Linked DNA regions of Saccharomyces cerevisiae S288C. Changing the gene in region 3 together with the main gene of any one other region gives a genetic interaction. Each region holds a gene or a part of one and is shown on either strand. Other genes may lie near its edges. The genes, in order: SFB3, HRR25, SEC12 and CBC2.

Evidence for each region.
Region 1: mutations in SEC12 (region 3) and SFB3 are lethal when combined (synthetic lethality), as found in Saccharomyces cerevisiae (2 studies listed by BioGRID, with this or other methods).
Region 2: of SEC12 (region 3) and HRR25, a mutation in one rescues a mutant of the other (synthetic rescue), as found in Saccharomyces cerevisiae (3 studies listed by BioGRID, with this or other methods).
Region 4: mutations in SEC12 (region 3) and CBC2 together harm fitness more than expected from each alone (negative genetic interaction), as found in Saccharomyces cerevisiae (2 studies listed by BioGRID).

The regions. Positions count from the first base shown.
Region 1 is NC_001140.6:297,678-305,090, reverse strand, and holds SFB3 (Sfb3p), read left to right. Parts: upstream 1-3,156; coding exon 3,157-5,946; downstream 5,947-7,413. Other genes in the region: histone acetyltransferase TRA1, read right to left, coding at 1-2,330; PAL2 (Pal2p), read left to right, coding at 6,482-6,606, 6,731-7,413. UniProt on the Saccharomyces cerevisiae protein: Component of the COPII coat, that covers ER-derived vesicles involved in transport from the endoplasmic reticulum to the Golgi apparatus.
Region 2 is NC_001148.4:162,683-166,260, reverse strand, and holds HRR25 (serine/threonine protein kinase HRR25), read right to left. Parts: upstream 1,986-3,578; coding exon 501-1,985; downstream 1-500. Other genes in the region: cAMP-dependent protein kinase catalytic subunit TPK2, read right to left, coding at 1-5; PGC1 (phosphatidylglycerol phospholipase), read left to right, coding at 2,664-3,578. UniProt on the Saccharomyces cerevisiae protein: Protein kinase which phosphorylates serine and threonine residues. Can use casein as a substrate. Phosphorylates elongator complex member ELP1/IKI3 on 'Ser-1198' and 'Ser-1202' which promotes the tRNA modification function of the complex.
Region 3 is NC_001146.8:671,732-677,721, reverse strand, and holds SEC12 (Sar family guanine nucleotide exchange factor SEC12), read left to right. Parts: upstream 1-3,032; coding exon 3,033-4,448; downstream 4,449-5,990. Other genes in the region: ZNG1 (GTP-dependent zinc transferase), read left to right, coding at 1-523; peptidylprolyl isomerase family protein CPR8, read right to left, coding at 619-1,545; putative pyridoxal kinase BUD17, read right to left, coding at 1,846-2,799; MPP6 (Mpp6p), read right to left, coding at 4,753-5,313; SNF12 (Snf12p), read right to left, coding at 5,604-5,990.
Region 4 is NC_001148.4:208,997-214,142, forward strand, and holds CBC2 (nuclear cap-binding protein subunit CBC2), read left to right. Parts: upstream 1-3,161; coding exon 3,162-3,788; downstream 3,789-5,146. Other genes in the region: PPQ1 (protein-serine/threonine phosphatase), read left to right, coding at 1-810; CUP9 (Cup9p), read right to left, coding at 4,046-4,966.

The DNA.
Region 1 (7,413 bases), on a different chromosome or scaffold from region 3:
GGGAAAAGATTGACGGACATAAAGGACAATTTGAAAAGTCGTATTAGGACATTAGAAGTGTTAAAATCAACGTTTCCTAAATCTTTCAATTTCCCTTTCAAGAATCTTAAAAGGATGCCAGCAAAATTTGGGGAGGTTATTTCACTTGTTAAAAAGGATTGCGCGACATGTAGCAGCCCAGAATCCTCCAGCATTCTTTCATAGACAAATGGCAGTTCCTGTTCAATTATTTCATTAAAAGTGGCATTATCCATCTGCATAAACATAAATGCCAAATAGTCCATTAACTCACGAGCATCTTTGGTGGCTGAGACCGGTAGGCTGGGCATTGATATATCAAAATGTTTTTTTGTTGTTTCTGGAGATAATTTTTCATTATGATCTTTAAAAAATTTCAAACCAATAATACATTCGTGAAATAAATCCTTGAAAACAATGACTTCCTCATATGAAAAAACTCTAGAAACAGAAGCCCACAATTTAGGATTAGCAACCGTATATTCGTTAGGAGGTGGGTTAAAGACTTTTAAGTCATGAATTATTGTTTTTAAGAAAGACATTAAAGTTCTGTATAAGTAAAAAGCATCCTTGATGGGATCATTTGTTGGTGTGGGTAGTAATAATATAGGTGCGTAGTTTTTTATGTCAAACATTTCAACGTCATTCTTCACCACTTTGTCAGATTCTGTCATTTCAACATCGGGACTATCATTGATATCTTCTTTTTTAGGCTGTGGCATCAAATGGTCGTCATCGGATGGTTCCAGTACCTTCCTCATAAATTCCTCACTCTCTTTGTCATTATCCTGTATAGAGTTTTTGAGCTTTTCTGCTTTCTCCTTCTTATGCGTTTCGTATCTTCCATAGTACTTCATTATTGTATCGTACTGTCTGTTTAAGGTTTTAAATCTATTCATATATGAGTCAATGATTATCATTAACAATTTCTTTGCTCTAGGGGCCTCTTGTGGGTTCTCCTTTCCCAATTTTAATATTCTTTCAACTAAATTAAGCAGCAATTTTGCACTCATGATTTGTACAGTTAAGGCTAATGACTCATCCAATAGATATCCAGTGTAAATCTTTATTGTTTTTTCAATTTCACTTAGTTGTAATTCAGATCTTATATTATGAATGAAATCTGCCACAGTACTATAAGCCAGGGGCCTTAATGTTTCATGCATAGTAAAACCGTTACCAATAAGTATACGTTCGTCAAACAGATAGTCCAATTTGGGTAAAAAGAGCTTTTTGTAGTTTGTAGATAGAATGTGTCTAGTGGCATGCAAAAGTTCCTTCCTAGCAGATGATAGTTCAGAAGGGCAGTCTTGTAAAAGCCTTATGATTAAATCAGGAACAAAATTCACATAATCCTGCAAAAATTCAGGAGCGTATCCTCTAATGAATACGTAAGCCAAGAAAGACGTGGCCTTGATCTGGGCTAATATAAAATCACAGTAAGCCGGTCTGTTGATAATCTCCGTCGATATAGAAGTGAAATGTTCTCCCCGTGATTCCGCCTGTTCTCTCGCTTCCTGTTGTTGTTTAATTTGTATATTCAATAGATTCATAATAAGAGGAGTGAATTCCGGAAGCGAGGTGCTAGTCAACTGCTTGTAAGACGAATATAAAGTGACCATTGTAATAGGGCATTCAGAAAGGATTTTAAAGGAAAACATAGATGACCTCAACCCGTTTGATGAGGTAGAGTTTTCAAACCTTGGCTCCGTGGATGATTGTTTCGATGGAAAGTCCTTTTCTTCATCATTTTTGGAGAATTCATCGAGAAGTTCATCTGCCTGTGGTTCTTTTGGTGAATCCAAATCACCCTGTTCTGCTTTCCCGGCTTCATAAAACGTCTGGTTTATAAGGTTTGGTGTATTTTTATAAATCTGAATAATTATTCGTATGAAGGAGTCGAGTTTGTCCTGTAGTATTGATTTGAATGATTTGAAAAGTGTCGTCAGCACTTTCATACATAATATCCCATTTTCTTCGTTTTCCTTTGGTAGTACTGAAAGTAAAAACTCGAGCACTTCCATTGCGTAGGGTTGAAAGGTTTGGTTCATGAGACACCTGTTGAAAATATCAAGCATAGAGTTTCTCAACTTTTGTTCCGGTGAATGCGCATCATATGAAATAGGAACTTCCTTTAGCTGGTTTAGAAGTAAAGGTATCACAGCTTGTAAGAAAAAATGGTAATCCTCAGGAGAATTCAGTAATTCCATTATGTCGTACAATTCCGATAGAGTGGAATATCTCGATTGTAGAGTGGCATCATCATCGCGAAACCTACTGGCGAATTGCTCGATCTGCTCAGTGAGTGACATCGGCAAAATGCGGTATTCTTTGTAACTATGGAGATATCGTGTGATAGATCTTCTCTGAATTTAATCTTCTTTATGTAATTACGTGTGATACCTCCGATTTTGTTGGTGTTGTTTATTAGAATACAACTAAAAAAGGCTATTAAAGAAAAATGGTTCTTGAGCTTTTTTTTCAGTTTGACCTGGAAAACTGTCTGACCACGTGATCACTTACCAAATTAGGAAACACAAGATTCAAGGTGGTCTTTTGAACAATTGTTGGTTGAATTTGTAATTTGAGGGTACAATAAATGCAGACTGATTTGGTATTCGATACGTGCGTTAGCTATTTTCGTGCGTTTTGTTTGTTCCTATGATCTCAGCGGCGTCCAGATGCTAGTTGAAAAGGCATGAATTATGGCTTTGTCTTGAAATGCGCGTGTCCGTAAAATATTGTCTGGCAGAGTAGCGTACAATTCTTAGTTTTGGCTTTTTGATTCAAGTTGATCTTCAAATTTCACTTATTTGCGTTCTGGCGATCTATCTGAAGGAGTTGATTAGTGGCGGCTAAAAGTGATGCAGCTCGTCCTTCTGTTTGCCCTATTGAAGGTGAAGCCTTCCGTGCACAATGCGAAAAAAATGTTCTTTTTTTTCCTTCGTTTCGTCTCAACGTGGGAACGATCAAACTGGAAAAACCAAAGAGAAAAATGTTAGAAAATAAATAAATAAAAAAAACACGTACGCTGTAACAACTTAGGTCTGATTCAACCAAATCGGAGCTTGCAACTGAAGAAATTAGTAATTTTGAGGGTTACTAAGGAGGCCATTTGCAGAAGAATATTGGACCATCATGTCTCAGCAGAATATTTTGGCAGCTAGTGTTTCAGCGCTCTCTCTTGATGAATCTACTGTGCATACGGGCGGAGCATCTTCCAAAAAAAGTAGAAGACCTCACAGAGCATATCATAACTTTTCCTCGGGCACTGTTCCTACTTTGGGCAATTCACCCTACACTACACCCCAATTGAATCAGCAGGATGGTTTTCAACAACCTCAAGCCTTTACCCCTAAGCAATTTGGTGGCTTCAACAACGGTTCGGGTTCCGTTATGTCCACGCCTGTAATGGTGAGTCAAGAGCGATTCGGTGCGAGTGAGGCCTCCTCGCCATATGGTCAATCTATGCTTGATATGACAGCGCCTCAACCTACATCTCACATTGTTCCAACTCAAAGATTTGAAGATCAAGCTCAATATTTACAACGATCTTTCGAAACTTGTAGAGATTCTGTTCCGCCCTTGCCGACCACCCAGTTTTATTGTGTTGACCAAGGTTCATGTGATCCGCACTTGATGAGTTTATCCATGTACAACATCCCCGAAAGTGAACACTTGAGAGCCGCCACGAAGCTACCACTTGGATTAACCATCCAACCATTTTCCACTTTGACACCGAATGATGCAGAAGTTCCCACAATTCCATTACCAATGGATGGTACGCCTTTGCGTTGTAGACGTTGTCGTGCGTATGCTAATCCTAAATTTCAGTTCACTTATGATTCAAGTGTTATTTGTAATATTTGTAGAGTTAAGATGCAAGTTCCAGGTGAGCATTTTGCGCCCATGGGTCCCAATGGGCAACGAAGTGATTTGAACGAAAAATCAGAGTTATTGCACGGAACAGTCGATTTCTTGGTGCCAAGTATTTACAATGCTATTCAGGAGAAGGAGCTTTTACCACTACACTACGTGTTTTTGATTGATGTTTCATTGTTAGCTAATGAGAACGGAAGTTCTTTAGCCATGGTGGAAGGTGTCAGGTCATGTATTGAGTATATTTCAGATTTCCAGCCAAATTGTGAGGTTGCTATAATCGTTTATGATAATAAGTTGCGGTTCTTTAATTTGAGACCAGATTTAGATAATGCACAAGAGTACATTGTAAGTGAATTGGACGATGTTTTCTTACCATTTTATAATGGATTATTTGTTAAACCCGGAAACTCGATGAAAATCATTAATGACACATTGATAAAAATTAGTGGTTACATCTCCACCGACAAGTATAGTCACGTACCCCAAGTCTGTTATGGTTCTGCTTTACAAGCCGCAAAATTAGCGTTAGACACAGTAACTGGCGGGCAAGGTGGTAAGATTATTTGTTCTTTGAACAGCTTGCCAACGATCGGCAACGGGAATTTATCGCTAAAAAGGGACAATGCACACATTGCTCATGTTAAATGCGACAATGGGTTCTATAAGAAATTAGCATCGGATTTTTTGAAATCCTACATTTCTTTAGATTTATATGTGACCAATGCGGGATTCATTGATATGGCCACTGTGGGCCATCCTGTAGAGATGACTTCCGGTATTTTGAAATATTATCCCCACTTTCAACAAGAGACGGATGCCTTCACTTTGGTTAACGACATGGTTACAAATGTCTCCAATATTGTTGGTTATCAAGCTTTATTGAAAGTTCGCTGTTCTACTGGGCTATCTGTGGAACAGTACTACTGCGATTCATCTGATAATACGGATCATGATCCAATTATTCCTGTATTGACTAGAGATACCACCTTAGATGTCTTACTAAAATATGACAGTAAAATAAAAACAGGAACCGATGTTCATTTCCAAACTGCATTGTTATATACTGATATTGATGGTGTCAGAAAAGTTCGTTCTATTAACACGTCAGGTGCGGTATCTAATAACATTCGTGAAATTTTCAAGTTTATAAATCAAAATCCTGTCATGAGAATAATGATCAAAGATGTCATAAAGACGCTCGGTGATTGTGACTTTGTAAAGATCAGAAGATTAATTGATGACAAGATGGTCGAAATCTTGACCCAATATAGAGGATTGGTTAGCAGTAACTCATCAACGCAATTGATACTGCCGGATTCTATAAAGACATTGCCTGCTTACATGTTAGCATTTGAAAAAAGCGAATTAATGAAGCCAAACGCTCAAAGTACCCGTGGTAATGAACGAATTTATGATTTATTGAAGTACGATTCATTGAACTCAGCACAACTTTGCTACAAACTTTATCCACAAATTGTGCCATTCCATGTATTATTAGAGGAAACTGATCTGACCTTTTACGATGCTAATGATAAATTATTACAGATCAACTCCAGCTCTATTAATAATCTATCTGTAAGAGCCTCACACTCTAATTTCATTAACGGCGGTTGCTACTTGATTTTCCAAGGTGATACTATCTATCTATGGTTTAATGAGAACACCAATAGAATGCTCTTGCAAGACCTGCTGTCAGTGGATGAATCCTTGCCCGTCAGCCAAATTTCGTTATTTAGTGGAACATTGCCTGAGACGGGCACTAGTATTAATCAAAAGGCTTCAAACGTCATTAAAAACTGGCAACAAGTAGTCAACAAGTCATCATTGCCGTTAGTCTTGTTGAGGCCTAATGTTGATCAATATTACAGTAATGTGATGAGTCAATTGCTTTGCGAGGACAAGACCGTCAACAGAATCGAATCATATGACAATTACTTGGTGATAATGCATAAAAAAATTCAAGAAAAACTTCAAAAAGACGATTTCATTAAAGTCTCGACTGCCGCAACTCACGAAAATATCCATCAAAAATTTGTGCAGTTTTGAGCCTCGCTCAAAGGAGACCCTGTGCTTACACGCAGAAAACTGGAAATAACGACATATTGTTGTGGCTGTGGCCGATGCGGTTCGTATATCCATTACTAAATAATTAAATACGTAAATGAATGAATAGACTGATATGATTGTGATTTTTACGTGTTGGCTATATTGTGCCTTTCTGCATTCACCTGCGCCTCCTCATGTAGAAAGGCGTTGATCAAGGGGAATACAGGAGAAGTATTTTTGGGTTCGTGTTTTGGTGGGGTTCCAGCCACAGAAGGGCTCTCGGCAGCGAAACGCTGACTATGCTGAGAATACTGCCAAAAAAAAAAAAAAGGCAGTATGTGAAACGCAGGCAGAGAAAGGGTGAAATTCTACATAGGATGAGAGAATCTCATAATTACAGGGATAAAACTGTAGCTTTGCTTCCTCTTTTATCTTTATTTTTTCTTGACTGTCTTCTGGTAAATCTTGCAAAATTACTACTATTTTGTATTTCAGAAGCGTTTTTTCCAAAGAATACTATATCAAACAGACGCAAATGAATCAAACAGGAAGGACCATAGGCGGTCCTCAAAATGGCGTGAATACAGTGATTAACCCCTTCAGAGTTTCTCCTTCAGAGGACAGAGTATCAAGCAGGGATGAAACGCCCAGGAATTATAAGTATGTGTAGCTCCACTCCCAAAATTGCACTACAGTGTAACTAACAGTCATGACTACTTCAGAATACTAACTTAACTCTTTTTCTCCTTTCAAAATCGATTGAGATAATCCATAATTATTGCAGTAACCCATTTTTAAATGAAGATGACACTAGGAGGGCCCATAACAGTAGCGTTTCCAATTCTAGACAAGAAAGACTCCCATCATATGAAGAAGCTGCGGGGACACCGAAACAGCAAGCTCCATACCCAAAAGAAAAGAAACGCAGTAGTGGTTCAAATAGTCACCAACACAACCACCACCACCATCGTCGTACATCACACGGACATAGGGACAAAGATAAGCAGAAGAGCAAAAGCAGAACCAAGGTTAAGCCCCCTAAAAATGTAGACACTATTGACAAGATGGATGTTACAGGATTATTTGGCGGATCTTTCCATCATGACGGCCCCTTTGATGCATGCACTCCACAGAGAAATAAGAATAATAAAGTGGCGCCTGTACTGGCCTTCCCAGCAGATGGTCCAAATAATACAGTAGGCGGCCGCACAAGTAAGAAGTCTACCTTAGATGAGGTGTTTGGTAGGGAAACAGTAGACGACGATTCTGAGACGCTGAACCAACTACAAGATAGAGCATATTTATTCAATAAGGCCAATTCCAGTACTACGACTTTGGATGCGATTAAACCGAATTCAAAAAATATTACCCAGTTCGATTCCAAAATGAAAACTGAACTAGTCCATGGGCCCATTACGATGGGTCTAGGCTCAACGACGTTCCTGGATGGCGCACCAGCGTCTTCCG
Region 2 (3,578 bases), on a different chromosome or scaffold from region 3:
TCCATACCGACAATTTTCAACAGTATGTGAGTTAACCTGAGTGAAGCTGCTGTTTGTGCCGGCTGTATATTTGCACAAACTTCCTTGGTATTCCGTCGTTATCGTCTCGTGATTGTTTCCTAATCAGACACTATAAGGCAAGTTAATTATCGAAAATACGAATTGATGCTGTCTTCTCAGAGGCCCTCCTTTAAAACCGTCCAATATTCGTGATTGATCTTCGATCGTTAGCCCTTTATTACATAAAAAAAAAACAAATTGGCCAAGAGGTGCTCCGCTCCCCCTTAATTTCCTTCCCGAAGAAAAAAATGCATAAAAAAAGTGGTTCTTTTAGCTATCATCTTTTTAGGTAAGAAGGCCAGAATTGTATATATTAACTCGATATGGAATTGTGTGTACGTATATGTAAATAATAATAATAATATATATATATATATGTGTGTGTGTATGTCTATATATACATATGTTTATTTTTGTGCGTTTTGAGCAATATATGTTGCTTACAACCAAATTGACTGGCCAGCTGGTTTATCTTGAGGCGGCTGTTGTGGATTAGATCTCATTTGTGGAGGTACAGATGCTTGATTAGTATTAAAATTATTGCTGTTTATTTGTGGGGGATACTGAGTAGCCCTGGTTGTAGCCATCGGAACTTGCTGCTGTTGCTCCTGAGAATCTCTTTGTTGCTGCTGTAGTAACGGTTCAGGATAATAATTTGGTCTTTGGCCATTTGGTTGCTGCTGTAGCTGTTGGGGCTGTGGTTGTGGCTGCGAACTTTGGACCTGCTGCTGCGGCTGCTGTTGTCTCAAGTTTTCCATACCTTTATCTAGTGCGTTCAATAATTCCTCTGGTAAAGAAGAGGCTGCATTATTATTCAAGATAGTTTGTTGTTTGATCTCTTCTGGTGAAGGATTATGTTTGTCTTCATTCTTGTAATAGTGGAAATGGGTGGGGAATTTCTTCATGGCTAACAGTTTAATCTTGTTGAAAGTTTCAGACTTGTTGTCTGTGCTGTTACTTGCACTTGCTGCATTGCTATTTGCGTTCAAATCACCTTTTTCGATGAGGAGGTCCCTTTGCTTCTCCACCATCGCCTTTGTGTAACGCAACATTGTCCAATCGAACAAGTGGTCGTTGTGATACTCTAGTTTAATACTCAGATCTTTAAACAGCCTTGCCAAGAACAAATAATCTGGCTTCTCATCGAATTTCAAATTCTTACAGTAAGCCATATATTCTTGAAACTCTAATGGTAAACCTGAACATAGAGTTTCCACGCTAACGTTTAATTTCTTTTCCATGATACGATCATACTTTTGTTTCTTGGTGGTTGCTTTCAAACCCTGCCATGGCAAAGAACCCTTACAAAAATAGATCAAGACATAACCTAGTGATTCTAAGTCATCTCTTCTACTTTGCTCTATTCCAAGATGCGTATTGACACTTGCATAACGAGCTGTACCTGTCAAGGACTTGTTCTCCCTGTAAGGAATATGACGATGTGTGTTGAAATCTCGGTATTTCTTTGATAGACCGAAATCAATAACATGAACGGTGCTACCACGGCGTCCTACCCCCATTAAAAAGTTGTCTGGTTTGATATCTCTATGAATGAACGACCTTCCATGTATATACTGAATACGGCAAAACATTTGCAAAGCCAGCATGATAACCGTCTTAAAGGAGAACCTTCTGTGACAGTAGTTGAATAAATCTTCCAAAGATGGGCCTAGAAGATCGATGACCATAGCATTATATTCACCCTCTCTGCCAAACCATCTGATGAACGGGATTCCCACACCACCGCTTAAGTATCTGTAGACGCGGGACTCATAGTCCAATTGAGGATGTCTGGACCTGATCGATTCCAGCTTGATGGCTACTTCTTCACCACTAATTAAGTTCGTGCCGTGGTAAATGTCACCAAAGGAACCACTCCCAATCTTCCTGCCAATACGAAATTTCCTTCCTACTCTTAAGTCCATCTCTTTTTAATGTATCCTTTCTATAAATATATCTTTTCTTTTTGGTTTTTTTTTTTGGTCGAATATGTCGTAACTTTTCGACTTTTTTTATCCTTGAAGTCTGGAAATATTTTTCTAAGTACCCAACAGAGGTTTAAAGATGCTACTAAGATGTGTTTTCACCACCAAATGCTTTCCTCGAGTGTCGAACCTTTCTTCTCTTTGTATTTCAACCACGTTCCATATATGTGGTCGTGTTTCAACTTTTTTTCTTCGTCTCCTTTTCCTCGTTGCACCAAAAATTCTCCAGAAAAAAAGAAATTCAAACGTGGGCTGCCTATTAGTAGTAAATACACAGACGGGAAGAAGCGTTGAAACAAAGCGAGAGTTGCAGTAACTCTTCACAGTGGTATATGATTGCCACGAAATAATCGTCGATCCAGTGGTAGTTATTCGTATATAGGAGCCTTTTATAGCAATTAGATGGTATCCATTTTGTGGTACTGTTGCGGGTAATCTGCATCACGTGACTATAACCTCTTTTAATTATATCTCTTTATACGCATGCCGTATCGAGGACAATACCGAATTGGTTTAGATCTTTTAGTATACAATTAAGGGAGATATAAAATTGGTGTTGTTGATGTTACTAGTGTTATTGATAAATAAGAAGTGTAAGATAACAACAAGGACACGAGGATGGTTGAAATTGTGGGCCACAGAGCTTTTAAAGCAAGATATCCTGAAAATACGCTACTAGCATTTGAGAAGGCTTATGCAGCAGGTGCTGATGTAATAGAAACGGATTTACAAATGACCAGCGATGGTATGGTGGTGGTAAACCATGACTCAGACACTGGTCGGATGTGGGATAAGAACTTGGTGATTGGCGAGTCGACTTGGGAGGAGGTTAAGCGATTGCGCTGCAAAGAGGATGGTTCCTTAGCAATGATGACATTGAAGGAAATTCTAACATGGGCAGTGTGCCATCCAGGAGCTAAATTGATGTTGGACATCAAATTTACCAACGAGAAAATCATCATGATCAAGACCTTTGTTATCATGTTAGAGGTTAAGAATGATCTTAAATTTTGGCAGGAGAGGATCACGTGGGGGCTTTGGTTGCTGGATTGGTACGATTTCGGTATTGAAACTGGTGTTCTGAAGGATTTCAAAGTTATTGTGATAAGTCTGTCTTTAGATATCGCCTCGCAATTTGTGAAGCGCTCTTTGACACTGAATGATCCTCACTATAAACTTTTTGGTATCAGCGTCCATTTTGTCTCCTCGTGGACAAGCCAATTTAGATTGAGATTACTACCTGTGCTTATGAAGAATGATATCAAGGTCTATTTATGGACTGTCAACAAACCTATAGATTTCAAATATCTGTGCGAATTGCCTATCCATGGTGCTATCACGGATGATCCGATCAAGGCAAGAAAGTTATGCGATGGTCATACCGTGGCGAAGAAGCCTACTGCTGAAAAAAAGTTTGTTGCGCCCAGTCTGGCATCTGTAGATGGGCTAAGATTCCATGCTTTTATCAAAGTTTATAACATCCTTTGCACGCTTCTATATTCCAAATGGGTCCATATTAAGTTGTGCGGTTGG
Region 3 (5,990 bases):
CAAACAATTAAAAGAAAGAGTACGGGAAATAAATTCTATCGCACCGATGTTCTTCACCAAGTATAGTGATACGCCGATTCAAAATTTACTAGATATTCATGCATACGACAGTGTACGGATATCTGACATCTTAGATAGTGGTAGCGGAAACGGTACCATTCATGATGATCGAATGGGCACAATAATGCTTACTTTCAGACCATTAAAAAACGAGGAAGAATATAATAATAAGTTTATTAAGCAATTTTTGCAACCTTTATTGTGGAAGAATTTTGGAGCCATGACAGTGCTGGGAGGGCGTCGCCGAGATGACGGCCGTGATTGGGAAGTACAAAGAACTAAAGGTCTGATACTTATTGAAGGAGAGAACCCCATTGCTCGTGTAATCCAAGGCGTCCGCGACACCTACGATGTCTTTCCAGGCAAATATGACGGATCCAATAAAGAGTGTAAAATTGTGCTGATTGGGAAGTACCTAGAAAAGGAATCCATAGAGGAACTGTTACGTAAAACCCTGGAATGATGGTTGGCATAATAAAGACGAGGTAAGTTATGTATATTTATACGTATGTATGTGATACAAAATGAATGAATATTAAGCGGATGGATCGAAACATTTTAATCCTCTCTAATAGAAACTATTTTAGACGATCTGTTGAATATTCTTTTCCTGTACTTGGCCAAAACGTAGAAAAGTAACAATACCGAAATACCAAGCATAATCTTTGGTAAAGGATGGTGAAGCTGATTATATTTTGCGTCTTCTAACTTTCTTTGACTACCCTGGTATAAATAATTCTTCAATGTAATACCTTTCTCCAAATCGCCGTTTTGGTAATCTTGAAGCCTTTGTAAATACTTTTCGTGAGCTTCCTTTGCATGCTGAATCCTGTGTTCCTGGGATGAAATGTAACCTATTGTTATTGGTTGCTCTGGTTTGCCATTTTCGTCAGTTTTCACATTAGCTAGTTTATCCATCAGATCTTTTAACCCGGCGGTAACTTGGCCAAACACAACACTTTCACCTTCAAGTGGCGTCTCACTGGTCTCAATTATAAACTTAAGACCCTTATCGTCCTTAATCATGGAAACTCTGCCTGGCCTATCATGAATTAAACTATGATTTTCTTCCGGGAGTTTTGGAGCCAACATTTCCGTTTCTTCAATAGAGGAGGAAGAAACGGAGCTACCTTCTATAGCTCCATTCGGTAGAATTTTATCAAAATCGCGTTCTGGCGAGTAACTGTGACGGGAAGCAAGGCGATCTTTTACACTATCAACATACTGGCAAAAAGTCATTACTGTCTTGGGCACCATAGTCCCGTATAAGTCTATTGTTATGAGACGGCCGGCTTCTTCCGAACTTTCAGGATCTGTGAAAACAATTCCGATGTTTACATTATGTGTAATAGGAGGGTCTGGTGCGTATTTTTTCTTTAGGTCTAAGGAGTCTGAAGAAGCCCTTTTGTTATCCACAGGTAATGGCAGAGCCGTTATGCAACTAAACATGAATGCCACATAAAGATAAAGAAAAAAGCTCTTCATTGGGAACCAATGTATACAAATTGTAATAATCTTTCAATTGTGATACTGAATATGAATAGTCTTCTTTATTTATCTACTGCAGTAGTTGATTCTATATATTCTATATATTCTATATTTTTCTTCTATTTTTTTAAATATTTTTTTTCCAATCAAATTGAAAGACCCAAAGAAGGATCGATCTTCTCCAAAGGGACGCGTCGTGTGCCTACAGTTTCCAAATCAGGAATGTATTTTCCTATTTAGGCAGGTTCCTGCAGCAGCCGCACCCCAATGAGGAAGGAGCATACCGTTTCGTAAGAATCATATTTTAATGGTTTTTGGCTTGCCAATGGAGGGTATGAGATCTTGCTTTAGGATGTCTCTACACTGAATCAGCTTTAAATCCTTGATATCTATCGTGGAATCTTGTGGGCCCCGCTCAGCTATGTTTAAATCATACGTTTTTTGTAGGATACTGGTGACGAGCCACAGCACTTGGCCCAAGGATGCGCTTAATGACAGCTGTGTGCAGCGGCGGTCGCCTAGTAACGAGTCAGTGAGCATGGCGCTGATTAAATCACCACTTCCACTAAATTTTGCGTTGATCTTGGGGATTTCATAGAAGAATATCTCTTCACTGGCCGAGCAATCAAACCCTGCTACTACGTAAGTGTCGTTGCTCAGGAATTCAGATAATTCCAGACTAGTGACAACTATTCGGCTTACTCGAGGGTACTTTTTATGAAATAGTTTAAATGCCTGCTTAGCGTCGTCTAAGGTACGAATTGACATCCCCACCAACAGTTCCATTTCAAACTGATTTGGTGTGGCCAAAAAAATTTTGAAGTTTTGTAAAATGTCTTGGTATACCGCAACACATTCTCGATCCACGTACAGCCTTCCATTATCGCCCAGTACAGGATCTAATATCCACTTGACGTTTTCACTCCCCTCACATAATTGACCCACTATTCCTGCTACCTTTTGCAGGGCTTGAACATTGGGTAAATAGCCACTAAGTACGGCATCATACTTGATTCTAAGAGACCCAATCAAGCCCTTCTCTACAATGTCTACCAACTCCTCAGTGCTGCATTTGAAGCCTGTGAAGTGGGCGTACCCCGAGTGGTTAGAAAACTGAACTGTGTTCAATACGTCCACATCCCAACCTCTGTATTGAAGTGGGAACGTAGCGGCCTTGTTTCCCACGTAGCCATGTATGACGTGTGATTGAATGGAGAGCACTTTTTTTGTCGTATGTAATGTACTGGTCATTGGCACCACCCTCACACAGGCATGTATTCAACCTTCCACTGCGTCTGGTCTAATTTCTCAAAGCTAGTTATTATCTTTATCTTGAATGGTGATGACAATAGAGTAAGAATGAGGGAAAAAAGAAAAGTTGAAAAAAAAAAAATCCAAAAAATTCAAAAACGTGTACAGAAACCTAGAAGGATACGTGATAGAAATACAGATATATAACAAGGTTGAGATACAATCGAGCCACTATGAAGTTCGTGACAGCTAGTTATAACGTCGGGTATCCTGCGTACGGTGCAAAATTTTTGAATAACGACACATTACTTGTGGCAGGCGGTGGAGGAGAAGGAAACAATGGCATACCAAACAAGCTGACGGTCTTGCGCGTGGATCCTACCAAAGATACTGAGAAGGAACAGTTTCATATATTGAGCGAGTTTGCATTGGAAGACAACGACGACTCTCCTACTGCAATTGACGCTTCCAAGGGTATCATTTTGGTTGGCTGCAATGAAAATAGCACTAAGATTACCCAAGGTAAAGGTAATAAGCACTTGAGAAAATTTAAATACGATAAAGTGAATGATCAATTGGAGTTCCTCACTAGTGTAGACTTTGACGCATCTACAAATGCGGATGACTACACGAAGCTGGTTTATATTTCACGAGAAGGTACCGTTGCAGCTATCGCATCATCTAAAGTACCTGCTATAATGAGAATCATTGACCCGAGCGACTTGACAGAGAAGTTTGAGATCGAGACTAGGGGTGAAGTAAAGGATTTACACTTTTCCACTGATGGTAAGGTTGTTGCTTATATCACCGGTTCTAGCTTGGAAGTGATTTCAACAGTGACTGGAAGTTGCATTGCTAGGAAAACAGATTTTGATAAGAATTGGAGTTTATCTAAAATAAACTTCATAGCCGATGACACAGTATTGATAGCAGCCTCTTTAAAAAAAGGGAAAGGTATTGTGCTGACCAAAATAAGCATCAAATCAGGAAACACTTCCGTATTAAGATCCAAACAAGTGACAAACAGATTCAAAGGGATTACTTCTATGGATGTCGACATGAAGGGTGAATTGGCGGTACTGGCAAGTAATGACAATTCCATAGCTCTTGTGAAACTAAAAGACCTGTCAATGTCTAAAATATTCAAACAAGCTCATAGTTTTGCCATTACAGAGGTCACTATCTCTCCGGACTCTACATATGTGGCGAGTGTTTCGGCAGCCAACACTATCCACATAATAAAATTACCGCTTAACTACGCCAACTACACCTCAATGAAACAAAAAATCTCTAAATTTTTCACCAACTTCATCCTTATTGTGCTGCTTTCTTACATTTTACAGTTCTCCTATAAGCACAATTTGCATTCCATGCTTTTCAATTACGCGAAGGACAATTTTCTAACGAAAAGAGACACCATCTCTTCGCCCTACGTAGTTGATGAAGACTTACATCAAACAACTTTGTTTGGCAACCACGGTACAAAAACATCTGTACCTAGCGTAGATTCCATAAAAGTGCATGGCGTGCATGAGACGAGTTCTGTGAATGGAACTGAAGTCTTATGTACTGAAAGTAACATTATTAATACTGGAGGGGCAGAGTTTGAGATCACCAACGCAACTTTTCGAGAAATAGATGATGCTTGAGCTTGAGAGAAAGTTATGAGGTAGCAATAATGAAGTAGCGAAAAGGAGAGTGACGACACTCAAGCTATGAAAAAAAACGCAAAGATACAAAAACGATCTCAATGATATTGATGATAGAGATTTATCTGATAAATTAGAAGTGGTGTATTTACATGTTTTTGTATATGTTTTGGAATTGAGCGTAATAGAAAGGACGGCAGTCCTTATGGTTTATGACAAATACGAAAAAAATACTACACAATGCTTTATATTATGTTCTCATTATTATATACGAATACGTACTTCTGCTGGTGCATTGTCTGCGCTACTTTTTTGAATTTCTATTTTTATTTTTACCATTATGGTTGGTCTTTTTCTTTTTGATGCTATCCTTAAATAATTTATCTAGGTCATATTCATCCTCTCCATCGTCTTGGCTCCCTGTAAATTCCTTATCCTTAGCATCCCTTTTCTCGTCTTCATTTTGTTCGCCTTCATCAAACTTTCTCTTCCTGGAACCACTATCATCAGAATTATCGCCAAAGGTTTTTCTCCCACTTATCACACCCTCAGGTTTTCGCAGTTCACTGTAACCAACGTTGGAGATTATGAGATTGGGTCGCTTCTTATATACTACTCTTTTCACCTTTTTCTTCTCCTTACCTGAAATTTTTTTTAAATCATCTTTGTAGCTATTGAGGTCCCACGCTGAGTCATCCAGACCAAAGAGTTTACCTTTCTGCTCTATAGGTTCCACATCTGAGTTGATATTAGACGGCGTATTGGAGTTGGAACTCTCTTCGTCATCCGTCTTACCAAATTTCATAAACTTCATATTCATGACTCTACTAGAGAGTTTGCCAGTGACACCATTGTTAGCACTCATTTGTTGCTTTTCCCTTGGTTCCTTATATGCTTATTGTGTTTAAGTGGCCCTCATCTCTACTACTTTTTCATATTCTGAAATTTCCAGTAGAAAATTTTCAGCGCTTTTCTTAGAAAGAGACAATGGAATCAGACAGCCGCCATTACTTGTAGGCGCTATAAACAAATCAGCATTGTCTGTTCGTCTTTAATTATTATAAATGAATGGTGACCTTTCTTTTCCTATCTAGAGTTTATATACAAAGAAAACTACATAAATCTTCAGTCTATTGTGTATCAATGTAAAGAAGCCTACATTCGTCCATTTGATAATATGACTTCTATATTCTCGCGCAACATAGCTTCATTTTCCTTGTAAAAGTTAGCCCGCCTTACCATATCTTCATTATAGCCCTCATCTCCCGATAAAACTTTCAAAGCATTCGAGGTAGAAGCAATGCATTCATTTAATGCTTTAACTGGGTCCTCACTAATTTTCTTGAAGAAACGGTATCGTTTGTTGCTCTCGTGTAGATTCGAGAGAACGGACGTTATTTCTTTGTCCTGTAAAGCTATCTTGGGTTTGATTTGTTCCAATTCCCTGGCATTTTCATTCAATTCAGCAGCCCCAATTTGACTTTCTCTTTGTGTATTATTGAATTTTAGAGCGTTGACATCAGGTACTTCAATATCAAGAAC
Region 4 (5,146 bases), on a different chromosome or scaffold from region 3:
GAAATTTTTTTGAATCAACCTACTCTTTTGAGATTACAAGCGCCTATCAAAGTTGTCGGTGATGTTCATGGACAATTTAATGATTTATTGAGAATTTTGAAGTTGTCTGGTGTGCCATCTGATACTAATTATCTGTTCTTGGGTGATTATGTGGACCGTGGTAAGAACTCATTGGAAACAATACTATTGTTATTATGTTACAAAATAAAGTACAAAGACAACTTTTTTATGTTAAGGGGTAATCACGAATCTGCTAATGTCACAAAGATGTACGGTTTCTATGATGAATGCAAAAGGCGATTGAGCTCGAAAGTATGGAAAATGTTCGTTGACGTATTTAATACTTTGCCATTAGCAGCAATTATTCAAGATAAGATCTTTTGCGTTCATGGAGGTATATCGCCCGATTTACATGACATGAAGCAAATCGAAAAAGTCGCAAGACCAACGGATATTCCTGAAAGCGGGCTGGTTACAGACTTACTGTGGAGTGACCCAGACCCTCAAGTAACTGATTGGTCAGAAAATGATCGTGGTGTTTCATACACATTTTCTAAGAGGAACGTTCTTGATTTTTGTGCTAAGTTTAAATTCGATTTAATACTTAGGGGACATATGGTCGTAGAAGATGGTTATGAATTCTTTGCCAGGAAAAAGTTTGTCACAATCTTTTCAGCACCAAATTATTGTGGAGAATTTCATAATTGGGGGGCAGTAATGAGCGTTACAACGGGTATGATGTGTAGCTTTGAACTGTTAAAGCCGCGTGCATTGAAAAATAAAAAGAAGTTATACAAAACCAAAGTGTAGCTGTTGCTAAGATTGGTTTTGCCTGGAAAGCACATTGGTTTTTAGGCCTCTTATCCTTCATTTGGAAACTTTTTGTCCTATGATTTGTTTTTTTCATTTTATTTTTCATTTTATTTTTCATTTTATTTTCATTTAGTTAACATTATTATGCAGTTATTTTTTTTTTTCCCACCTTCATGGCCTCGTTTATGTCTTTTATCAATATATTTTTTACGTTTATAAGTCATTTACTCGACTTTTTTTACCTTTGATATGCAATCATATTATTCTTCCCTCCATTATGGCTAAATAAATGATAATTATAATCTATAGTTTTCAAGCGTTCATATTTTGACAGATAAGATTATGCAACAACTTGGAAGGGCGGAAGGAAGCAAAAAGAAAACTCCGATACGGGGAGTCGAACCCCGGTCTCCACGGTGAAAGCGTGATGTGATAGCCGTTACACTATATCGGACAATAATTGGACAGAAAATTTTGTTAAAGTGTCAGCCTAATCGGCGTAATACGTATATATGTATATTATCTGCATATTATTACGATAATATACAACAAAACGGATTAAAACAATCGGTATATTTCAATTTGATATTTGGGATAAGGTAAAATAAAAACCGAAGATCAGTAAGCTCTTGTTACTTTTTTGTTGGAATAGAGGATCAAGAAGCATTTATTGCTAGTATCCAAATTATTAGTATATCATCATGTTTTCAAAAAAAAATGATGTAAAAATTGAGAAACAGTCACCAGTCATCATGAAAAGTGCACTGCAAGGATTAATAACGTAATAAAACAAGAACGACAGTACATAAACGAAAGAAGAGATAACTATATTATTGTATAGAATTATCGATTCTCTTTTAGAATTCTTTTATTCTCCAGGAAAACTACTTGTACATTCTGTTTAGCTAATATTGTAGCCTTTAACCACAATAAAATGCACTCCAAGTATAACCCAAAATTCATTGTTTTCAAATTTATATTAATGAGATATTGGTAACCTAAACATCAAAAATATTTTTACTCAAATTCTCTTTTCTGAAAACGCTGAAGGAAATGTGCAGGAAAAATGTTTGGCCATCAACTTTTATTCCTAGTACCACAACTAACGTCACATTCTATCGAGGCAAATGCTAATTGGCAACTAACACTATCTTAACGGTTTGATAATGTCAACACAAAATTCACCTATTATTACAAACGAATCTACCGGAAGTTGAAATGCCTGACAATAATCATACAATTGCATGAATAATTGCGAACAGATGGCAGCAAAGGATGAACTAATCATAATTATACATTGCCGCTGTAGGTTTCCTCCCATAAAAATCCAAATTTCCAAGAAAAAGTTCTTGTGTCTTCATACACTTAATATTGTTATCCTTCTTCAAGACCGGACTATATAAAGAAAAAATTTTGTAATGCTATTATATTTCAACTTCAAATTATTTTCTACTAGTAGACATAATGGAACTTCGCTCTCAGATAATCTATGGCGATAGATGGACAATTGACAATCTTCTGAAAGAATTTATATAATAAGATGTGACCATGACCTAAACCTGCTCACGCTCATGAAAGGATACAGGTAATTTGGCGAAACATTCCCAAGCTTCGCTGATAGACCTATCCCAGAAAGTGTCTGTTTAAAACTACAAGTATTTGCAGTTTTCGTTATCCAGTTTCGTTCAAGAGCATTAATGCACAAGCCACTTATATTATATAAATTTAAACTTTGGGAAAATATCATACACCTATTGTACCAGTAAATGTTGGAATAAAAATCAACTATCATCTACTAACTAGTATTTACGTTACTAGTATATTATCATATACGGTGTTAGAAGATGACACAAATGATGAGAAATAGTCATCTAAATTAGTGGAAGCTGAAACGCAAGGATTGATAATGTAATAGGATCAATGAATATTAACATATAAAATGATGATAATAATATTTATAGAATTGTGTAGAATTGCAGATTCCCTTTCATGGATTCCTAAATCCTTGAGGAGAACTTCTAGTATATCTATATACCTAATATTATAGCCTTAATCACAATGGAATCCCAACAATTACATCAAAATCCACATTGTCTACAGTAAAAGTATACCACTAATAGATTTGTAATTGGTGTATGAAGTAGTGTATGGTATAAACGTTAATAAGTGCTTATCAAAGTATTACCCGCTTTAACAGTTTTTGTGTTTTTTTCAAGAAAAATATTATATGTATGAATATAGAACATGAGTTTATATGGAGAAAGTGTCTCGACAGCTTTTAAAGTCCCGAAAGGACTAATATCGAATAAAAGTTGCATCCATTAATATACCAATAAATAAAGGGAAAGATGTCCCTGGAAGAATTTGACGAAGTTAAATATGATCATTCAACTAAACGCCTAGATACACCATCAAGGTACCTGCTGCGCAAGGCTAGAAGAAACCCTAACGGGCTACAAGAACTGCGTGAGTCGATGAAGTCATCCACAATTTATGTAGGAAATCTTTCCTTTTATACATCAGAAGAACAAATTTACGAATTATTCAGTAAATGTGGCACAATAAAAAGAATAATTATGGGTTTGGACCGTTTTAAGTTCACGCCATGTGGCTTCTGTTTTATTATATATAGTTGTCCAGATGAAGCATTGAATGCCTTAAAATATTTGTCCGATACAAAGTTAGACGAAAAGACAATTACCATTGATCTAGATCCTGGTTTTGAAGATGGAAGACAGTTTGGTCGTGGTAAGAGCGGTGGTCAAGTCAGCGATGAATTGAGGTTCGATTTTGATGCATCCAGAGGTGGCTTCGCCATTCCATTTGCAGAGCGTGTCGGCGTACCACATTCCAGATTTGATAACAGTAGCTCACAATCTAATACGAATAATTATATCCCTCCTCCTGATGCAATGGGTACTTTCAGACCAGGTTTCGATGAAGAAAGAGAAGATGATAACTACGTACCTCAGTAGAATCAATCAATTTATATCTGAGAAAGATTCTACACACAGATATATATATATATATATATATTATTGTATATATACATACCTACATTATTTTTAAAGGCTTGCATGATGCTGTTATGTAAAAAAAAAAAAAAAAAATCAGTGTAACATAATAGACGTAACACGTTCAATGACATGATAATACTATATATAGTAACGATAAAATGTAAATGGTAATAGATATAATTATATGAATATTTAAGTAATGCATTGATAAGTGATCAATTCATATCAGGGTTGGATAGCTTTTTCAATTCTTCCAGCCTATCAATTAGTTTTTTACGGCGTGTAACGGGGGCATGAGCAAATCTCTTGGATAATTCATAATCCGTGGAGCAGGTTGACGTAGCATCGTACATAGTATTATTTGTGGCAGATAATGTGTTATGATATGCTGAGACGTTTTGAACTCGTTCCACTGGGGTATTATTCGCGTTGTCATTAGGAATTGAGTTTACCAGGGTATAGTAATCACTAAATATTTTGCGTCTTCTCACATTTATGAACCAATTAGAAAGTTGAATCTTGGTTAGCCCAGTTTTGATTAACAACTCCCTCTTTTCTTGTTGAGTTGGGTAGGGGTTATTCAGGTGGTTCAGCAACCAAGTATTCAGTATCTGCACTGTTTCCTTTGGCAGGTTAGACCTCCTGCCCGAATTTTGCTTCCTCCTTGATTTAGATTCTACAAAATCCGAAAATGGCCTGTTGTATTGTGCCCCCGCATCCTTTTCCTTATTGATTATTTCATATATTGGGGCGGATTTGTAGCAGGGCTTTGCATCATCGGACGCCGATTTTGACTTCTTTGAACTGCCATATTGAGATTGTGTATCCATAGCACTGCTACTCGTCTTGGACGTTTCAACTGTAGAAGCAGTAGGAGTAGCAGTAGTACTAGTACCGCCAGAATTAATTGCGGGATACGCAATCGAATGATGCTGTGGAAGTAACACAGGCGCAGGATAGTTTTGTTCCTCGGTACTAGACCGAAGGTTCCCATGCGAGTATTCTATGTTCGAAAATGCCAACTCGGGCATACTCCGTTTTTCTATGGAGTTAAATAGAACTTGGATAGGGGGTAGACTGACTTGATTGTCAACATTCTTACTGTTCCTGTTTTGTATTTCGCAGTTATAATTCATCTTCGAATGTAACTATTCTCGAAGGTTGTTAGCATAAAAGTAGGGGCTCGGCAAGTAGCGATCAGTAGCACTGGATAGGCGTGGTATCGCTTGAAAACAAGGGTGGGAAGATCAACTAAAAAATTGTATTAGTATATATCTTGACCAATTTAACATAATCTTACCAATTAACAGAAACAG